2 linked regions of the Xenopus tropicalis genome follow. The protein of the gene in region 2 purifies or fractionates together with the protein of the main gene of each other region. This does not show direct contact. Links are inferred from orthologs where the notes say so. Each region holds a gene or a part of one and is shown on either strand. Other genes may lie near its edges.

The links.
Region 1: the proteins of tyrosine-protein kinase STYK1-like (region 2) and tmem259 purify together in Homo sapiens (affinity purification with mass spectrometry; 3 studies listed by BioGRID and IntAct, with this or other methods). This does not show direct contact. The link is inferred for Xenopus tropicalis from reciprocal best matches to the Homo sapiens genes STYK1 and TMEM259.

Annotation. Positions count from the first base shown.
Region 1 is NC_030677.2:100,354,034-100,358,616, reverse strand, and holds the start of tmem259 (membralin), read right to left. Parts: upstream 3,009-4,583; 5' UTR 2,878-3,008; intron 2,589-2,877; 5' UTR 2,557-2,588; coding exon 2,359-2,556; intron 1-2,358. UniProt on the Homo sapiens protein: May have a role in the ERAD pathway required for clearance of misfolded proteins in the endoplasmic reticulum (ER). Promotes survival of motor neurons, probably by protecting against ER stress.
Region 2 is NC_030683.2:133,063,098-133,066,919, forward strand, and holds part of tyrosine-protein kinase STYK1-like, read left to right. Parts: intron 1-117; coding exon 118-255; intron 256-718; coding exon 719-943; intron 944-3,051; coding exon 3,052-3,233; intron 3,234-3,544; coding exon 3,545-3,628; intron 3,629-3,822. UniProt on the Homo sapiens protein: Probable tyrosine protein-kinase, which has strong transforming capabilities on a variety of cell lines. When overexpressed, it can also induce tumor cell invasion as well as metastasis in distant organs.

The sequences.
Region 1 (4,583 bases), on a different chromosome or scaffold from region 2:
AAGTAAGTGGAAAATGTTTTTTATTTATTTGGTTTCTTATATCCATTGTGTCAGCAGGTACCAAGGGTTAGGGTATGTCGCTAACAATCTGAAGGAAGGAAACCATAAAAACGCCCACTTTCTCCTGCTGCAGATTATACAGGCAAGCAGAGACAGGACGAAAAGTATCACAATATCTAGCCTACTTAAAGGGGCTGTTCAACTTTGAGTTATCTTTTAGTAACTGTTAGTTATTTTTTATTATTTGTAGTTTAATTATTTCAGTTTTTGCTTAGCAGCCCTGTTTGGAGTTTTAGCAGCTATTTGGTTGCTACAATTGAAATTACCTTAGCAACCAGGGTGTGGTTTGAATGAATGAAAGACTAAGGAGACTAGGAGAGGACTTGAATAGAAAAATAAATACTAAAAAAGTAGCAATAACAATTAAACTGAAGTTTCACAAAGCAATAGTTTTTTGGCTGTGGGGATCAGTGACCCCTGTTTAAAATCTGCAAAGAGTTAGAAGTAGGAGACAAATAATTAAAAAACTATACATAATAAATAATGAAGACCAATTGAAAAGTTGCTCTGAAGTGGCCGCTCTATAACATACTAAAAGTTAACTTAAAAGGTAAACCACCCCTTTAAACACTAAGTGAGAAAGTACATTACTTTTTTTCACATTTTGTCAGAGCAGACCAACAAGAATTTCTGGTGTCTATAATATAAATCTGCTAAACTGAACTCCAATTCCTATATGCCCCTGAGGCCTAAAGAAAGCTATATATTGACCTTATATTTTTCCATGATAGTTGGCTTACCCTAGCAAAATATTTATTTTATTCCTAATTTTTATTGGCAAAAAGAAAAGAAATTTGGCAGACCTACAAAAACTTTCAGATCCATCTGGATAAAAGGTCAATGGTCAGAGCTAAAAATGCAAAAGCAAAGATCTGATTGGTTGCTATAATTAAGCCCATTGAACAGTTTAGAACCTGTTAGTAGTTTATCTAGGAGTTCTTGGCCTCTTGGCGACTGACATTGTTTGCAGTGTATTTTTAGGCATTTTGTTTCAACAATAGAAGCACATTTTCAGACAAAAAAAAGTCTCATTTCATATTGACCTTAGTCATTTCACAAAAACAAAATATATTTAGTAACTGAAAACTGCTCAGCGCTTACCCCTTATCAGAAGTACATACAGATGAAAAGTAAATAATAAGATAGAACAGGAATTATAGCATCCCTTCAAATTAAATTTGTTTAATCTCCCCCAAGATGTCACAAAGCTTGGATATTCGTAAAGGGTCACGAGAATGCTTTTATATTATGAGTTGTTAAGGGTACTGTTTGATTTATCAATAGCATTAACTTTATACAAAGAAAGAAGGCTCTATCTAATGCATGTAAAGTGGTATAAATGAAAATTTACAAAAGAGAGGCCACTAAGTTCTCAATTTTTCTGCAAGAAAGTGCACCACCATTTGCCTTCTCTGCTCTAGACCAAAAGCCTGTGCATATAGGCCAAAAACAATACAAAATGTATTTAATCTCACAGTAGCCCTGTTGGAAAAAACTTGTGACTTTAACAGAAAAACTCCAAAAGGTAACACTGATATTAATATTATAAGAGATATATGGCCTATCCGAATTTCTAAAACAATGGAACTCTAAAAAGTATACAGGTATAGCACCCATTATCCAGAATGCTCGGGACCAAGGGTATTCCAGATAAGGGGTCTTTCTGTAATTTGGATCTCCATACCTTAAGTCTACTAAAGAACAAATAAAACATTAATTTTACCCTATGTGATTGTTTTACATCCAATAAGGATTATTTATATCTTAGTTGGGATCAAGTACAAGATACTGTTTTATTACTACAGAGAAAAAGGATATCAGTTTTAAAATTTTGAATTATTTGATTAAAATGGAGTCTATGGGAGACGGGCATTCCGTAATTCGGGGCTTTCTGGATAATGGGTTTCCGGATAAGGGATCCCATACCTTTATATGACTTAACAATTTACATGACAAAAATACATGTTAGAAAGAAAAGCGATATATCAAACAAAAGGGCCACTACTTTGATTGCATTTATACAGCACTGATAACCTCTGAAATGCTGTGGAAAAGTGTAACCACCATTTACATTAGTCCCTGCCCCAGAGAAGCTTGCAATCTAGGGTCGCTACCACATTCACACAAACTAGGGTCAGTTTTATCGGAATCCAATTAACCTGCCTGTATGTTATCAAAGTGTGGGAGATGGTAGAGTACATGGAAGAAACCCCAAGCAGATACAAGGAGAACTTTTCACACTGTCACAGTAGTTTTGTCACCAAGGAAAAAAAAAAACCAAAACGCCTTTCTTATTACCTTCAGAAGTACAAAGAACTCAAATATTCTGCGAAAGGAAGGGGGGAACAGTCTTGCGTAGGTCACAGCCATCTTGAAGAACAATGCATGGAAGAGACGATCTCGAACATTAATCAAGGGATTCTGATTCAGGTTAGGAGTTCGAACACGGTTGCCATTAGCGTTATTGAGAGGAATATTACCCTGGTTCTCAGACATCTTGATGATGGTTTGGGGGTAAGCAAAGGTGCCTGTACACAAAGCAAAAGTCATCCTTATCACATATGTCCAAGCAATAATAAACACACATGGTGTATGTGTACACGTAACCTAGACGGATATATTTATAAATAAAACGCACAGACATCAATGTTAATGTGCGGTGAGATTATCAATGTGGGTGCAGGGTAGACTTATTTCTTTCCATATGGCTGCACAAGGATATCACAGTGTATTGACTTATTTTCTATGGCTAAAGACAAGGACATGCGTTTATAAACCTGTGCTAAGGCCATTTAGGGGCAGTACAGTTATACTTACTGTACTTTATCGCATACCGCCCAAAAGTCCCACTTTTGCCGGGACAATCCCGGTCTTCTTAGCAAAGTCCGCAGTCCCGGTTCGCTGTTTAAAAGTCCCGCAGCGCCGTTAACGTCTAGCTCCTTGACTCCTGCCGGACAGCTAATCCAGACGTCACAAGCCTCATCTCGCGATAACGGTGACGTCACGGTGAACGTATATATAAGCGTACGGACGCTATACGTTGTCTCCGTGGGGGAGTGACAGGCTAGGTCGAGGTGGTTTAGTGTCTGGCAACTACAAACAGTAAGGCGCTATGCGCTGTGCTGGCTCAAGCAATAGGGGGCCGGTGGTTCACAATTTTTATTTTCTCTTCCGCTCTTACAAGTTATACGTATCAATAGTTTATCAGAAGTCTTTTTGTTTTGCCCCCAGTATCTTCTATCAGAAAGTTAAAAAAAAACTTTTTTGAGAGCAAAATATACTTACTGTTTTTTGGGTTTTTTTGCTGCGCTCACATTATCTTCTTTTCCAGGGCAAATACATGTAAACACCAAAAACAAAACCATTGCAACAAATCCATTTGTTAATCGCCTTGTGCCAGGATGCAAAAAAAATAATCTTTTTTTTTTTCTTTGACTTGCATTTTATTTTTTCTCTGGTGTTTACTGGCAATCAGTGTTGGACTGGGATGCCAGGGGCCCACCAGAAAACCTTAGCCCATGGGCCCACGCTCTCCAAACTATTTTTCACCCATTTCTTACTCAGTCTCTATATTTTCATAGTGTTTTTTATCTTTACATACTATAATCTATTCTATATATTTAGTTGCTTTGTTCCCATAGAAAAATAAGCAATGACCATGAATTAGGCCAAATAGCTAGAAGCTGGGGGGCCCACTGGCACCTGGGCCCACCGGGAATTTTCCTGGTATCCCTGTGGGCCAGCCCGAGACTGCTGGCAATACTTGCTTTCGCTCCAAATATTTGACCAAAAAGTAATAAACATTTTTTCTCTGCTCAAAGCTTTGATTTGTGCAGTGAACAAGTCACCTTATTCCTGTTTGCCAACAATACACACAGCCACTAGATCCACTACTACTGTAGCAGCAGAGATTTTATGTTTAAAAGGGACGTGTGAAAAACAATATCGTGCCAACAAATTGTACTCATCTAAATATAAAGGAAATGCTTTAAAAAAAGTAGTGTTTCGGTCGGAAACTTTGGACGACTACAGGCTTCAGGAGTGCGCATGCGCATAAACGGCAGAGCGAGAAGACAACGGTGGGCGTCCCCGCACCGGAGGAGGCGGCGGGCGTCCCCGCCGCCCCACTAGACTACCAGGTATTGTTACATTCTTGTCTGTGGGATGGCATTTCGAGATTAGTCACCCACAATAGCGAAGATTTATCGGGGGCAAGTAAACTCGTCGTGTGCTACCTCCCTTAGTGTGTACTATGGAGAACGAAGCCAGTATTGCTGGTAGATCATCAGTACCTGATTTCCAATTTTTAAAAGAGTCTTTGGAGGAGCAAATTTTATTGACAGTAACTGGCCAACTAAATACATTACCCACTATTTTTATCTTTTATGATACCATCTAACTCTGTTGGTGATGAGATGCATATTATAGTACAGAGCAGATGAGCCCTTTTAAATATACATTTATATATTTATATTATTTTGTATTTGTAATTTAGACCCCTTACATTAAGCAATCAATATTAA
Region 2 (3,822 bases):
GAAAATCTTTAAACCCCAACAGTCCTTACTCCAGTGGTGCTCTTACTGAACTAGAACCCACAGCCTGATGCCAGGTGTTCCGGATCATTGGTTCTGTAACCAGCTCTTCTGTTCCAGATGAGGATGAGTGGCAGAACTCAGTGATTATCATTCCGGTTCTGCTCACGGCTCCAACTCTGCTGGTGGTTCTGGTTATTCTGTGGAAATCAATTCGGAACCGGAGGAAGAAAATACATTGTGATTCTAGAACCCCAGGTATGAAGGTAACACTTTGCACTCACTCATTATACTCACACTTACACTCACACACTCACTCATTATACTCACACTTACACTCACTCACTCATTATACTCACACTTACACTCACACACTCATTATACTCACACTTACACTCACTCACTCATTATACTTACACTCACACACTCATTATACTCACACTCACACACTCACTCATTATACTCACACTTACACTCACACACTCACTCACTCATTATACTCACACTCACTCATTACACTCACTCACTCACTCACTCACTCACACACTTACACACACACTCGCTCACACACTCACTCTCACGCACACGCTCACTCTCACACACTTACTCACACACTCTTACACACACACTCGCTCATACACTCACTCATGCACTCACTCATTCTCACACACTCACTCTCACACACTGTATGGGCAGTAGTGGAGTCAGGATCTGTTTCCAGCAGGTGAGGGCTATGGAGAATGGGCCGTCAATGCTGCCGCAGTCTATGAGAATACTCTCGGGTTCCCGGACACTGAACTGCAGAGGTGGGAGCTGCCAGATGGGTGGACAATCCAGGATGTGGTTAAAATTTGCCCCGGTCAGTTTGGGCGCATCAGTGGCGCGTGTCTGTATGAACCGGGGGAACCCAATGTCAGGCACAGGGTCATCATCAAGGAGCTTTCAGGTGAGTGTAAAGGGTAAATAACCAACAAGCAGGGTAGGAGATACCAGTCCAGTAGAACCTTCACCCACTCTCAGTCTCTGTAGAACCTTTATCCACTGTCAGTCTCTGTAGAACCTTCACCCACTGTCAGTCTCTGTAGAACCTTCACCCACTGTCAGTCTCTGTAGAACCTTCACCCACTGTCAGTCTCTGTAGAACCTTCACCCACTGTCAGTCTCTGTAGAACCTTCACCCACTGTCAGTCTCTGTAGAACCTTCACCCACTGTCAGTCTCTGTAGAACCTTCACCCACTGTCAGTCTCTGTAGAACCTTCACCCACTGTCAGTCTCTGTAGAACCTTCACCCACTGTCAGTCTCTGTAGAACCTTCACCCACTGTCAGTCTCTGTAGAACCTTCACCCATTGTCAGTCTCTGTAGAACCTTCACCCATTGTCAGTCTCTGTAGAACCTTCACCCACTGTCAGTCTCTGAAGAACCTTCACCCACTGTCAGTCTCTGTAGAACCTTCACCCACTGTCAGTCTCTGTAGAACCTTCACCCACTGTCAGTCTCTGTAGAACCTTCATCCACTGTCAGTCTCTGTAGAACCTTCATCCACTGTCAGTCTCTGTAGAACCTTCATCCACTGTCAGTCTCTGTAGAACCTTCACCCACTGTCAGTCTCTGTAGAACCTTCACCCACTGTCAGTCTCTGTAGAACCTTCACCCACTGTCAGTCTCTGTAGAACCTTCATCCACTGTCAGTCTCTGTAGAACCTTCATCCACTGTCAGTCTCTGTAGAACCTTCATCCACTGTCAGTCTCTGTAGAACCTTCATCCACTGTCAGTCTCTGTAGAACCTTCACTCACTGCCAGTCTCTGTAGAACCTTCACCCACTGTCAGTCTCTGTAGAACCTTCATCCACTGCCAGTCTCTGTAGAACCTTCATCCACTGTCAGTCTCTGTAGAACCATCATCCACTGTCAGTCTCTGTAGAACCTTCACCCACTGTCAGTCTCTGTAGAACCTTCACCCACTGTCAGTCTCTGTAGAACCTTCACCCACTGTCAGTCTCTGTAGAACCTTCTCTCACTGTCAGTCTCTGTAGAACCTTCACCCACTGTCAGTCTCTGTAGAACCTTCATCCACTGTCAGTCTCTGTAGAACCTTCACCCACTGTCAATCTCTGTAGAACCTTCACTCACTGCCAGTCTCTGTAGAACCTTCATCCACTGTCAGTGTCTCTAGAACCTTCACCCACTGTCAGTCTCTGTAGAACCTTCTCTCACTGTCAGTCTCTGTAGAACCTTCACCCACTGTCAATCTCTGTAGAACCTTCATCCACTGTCAGTGTCTCTAGAACCTTCACCCACTGTCAGTCTCTGTAGAACCTTCACCCACTGTCAGTCTCTGTAGAACCTTCACCCACTGTCAGTCTCTGTAGAACCTTCACCCACTGTCAGTCTCTGTAGAACCTTCACCCACTGTCAGTCTCTGTAGAACCTTCATCCACTGTCAGTCTCTGTAGAACCTTCACCCACTGTCAGTCTCTGTAGAACCTTCACCCACTGTCAATCTCTGTAGAACCTTCACTCACTGCCAGTCTCTGTAGAACCTTCACCCACTGTCAGTCTCTGTAGAACCTTCATCCACTGCCAGTCTCTGTAGAACCTTCACCTACTGTCAGTCTCTGTAGAACCTTCACCCACTGTCAATCTCTGTAGAACCTTCACTCACTGCCAGTCTCTGTAGAACCTTCACCCACTGTCAGTCTCTGTAGAACCTTCATCCACTGCCAGTCTCTGTAGAACCTTCACCCACTGTCAGTCTCTGTAGAACCTTCACCCACTGTCAGTCTCTGTAGAACCTTCACCCACTGTCAGTCTCTGTAGAACCTTCACCCACTGTCAGTCTCTGTAGAACCTTCATTCACTGTCAGTCTCTGTAGAACCTTCACCCACTGTCAGTCTCTGTAGAACCTTCATCCACTGTCAGTCTCTGTAGAACCTTCACCCACTGTCAGTCTCTGTAGAACCTTCACCCACTGTCAGTCTCTGTAGAACCTTCACCCACTGTCAGTCTCTGTAGAACCTTTATCCTCTTGTATCTTGGTTCTGTCCCAAAGAGAACTGCAGTCCCGGAGAAGCTCAGGATTTTATTGATCTCATCCGGTTTTACTCTCGGGTCTGTAACCACGACAACCTGCTGAAAATGTATTGGTGTAGAACCTCCTTGAGCCCAGTGTGCATCATCCTGAAAGCCATGAACCTTGGGAATCTGCTTCACTTTCTCTGGAGATCCCGTGAGGTACCCAGACCGACTCCCCCAAATACCGACTCCCCCAAATACCGACTCCCCCAAATACCGACTCCCCCAAATATATTCCCTAAAACATGTAGGTATTTTGGGATGTGGGTTAATGTAGTAACTGCCCTGTTGGGGTACATGCTGAATGGATCCACTCATGGGCAATTAAAGGGCCACATTGTACCCCCAGGTGAGTCACAGATACCCACAATGCCACACAGGGCCCACAATATACCAGGTTTGGGAAATGTATGTGCGTATGTAGTTGTGGGGGTCATTTTCCTTTACATTCTCCATTTCACCCCCCACAGGGCAACCTCGCTGCTAAGGATCCTCTCTATAATATCACCGAGAAGAAGGTCTACTCAATGGCTTCCCAAGTGGCAAGTGGCCTGGTAGGTATTGAGCCAATAGCCTTTACCCAGCCCCCCAGTGGGCTCCTTGGGGCGGCCAATAGATACAACGTGGGCACCTTGCACTTCCTGTTTGGCACCTACAGGTGGCGCTACACATACATGTGAATCAAGTTCTTACCTTCTAAATAATGTTTTTATGGAGACACATTGACCCCCCTCAGTAAGGAACATGT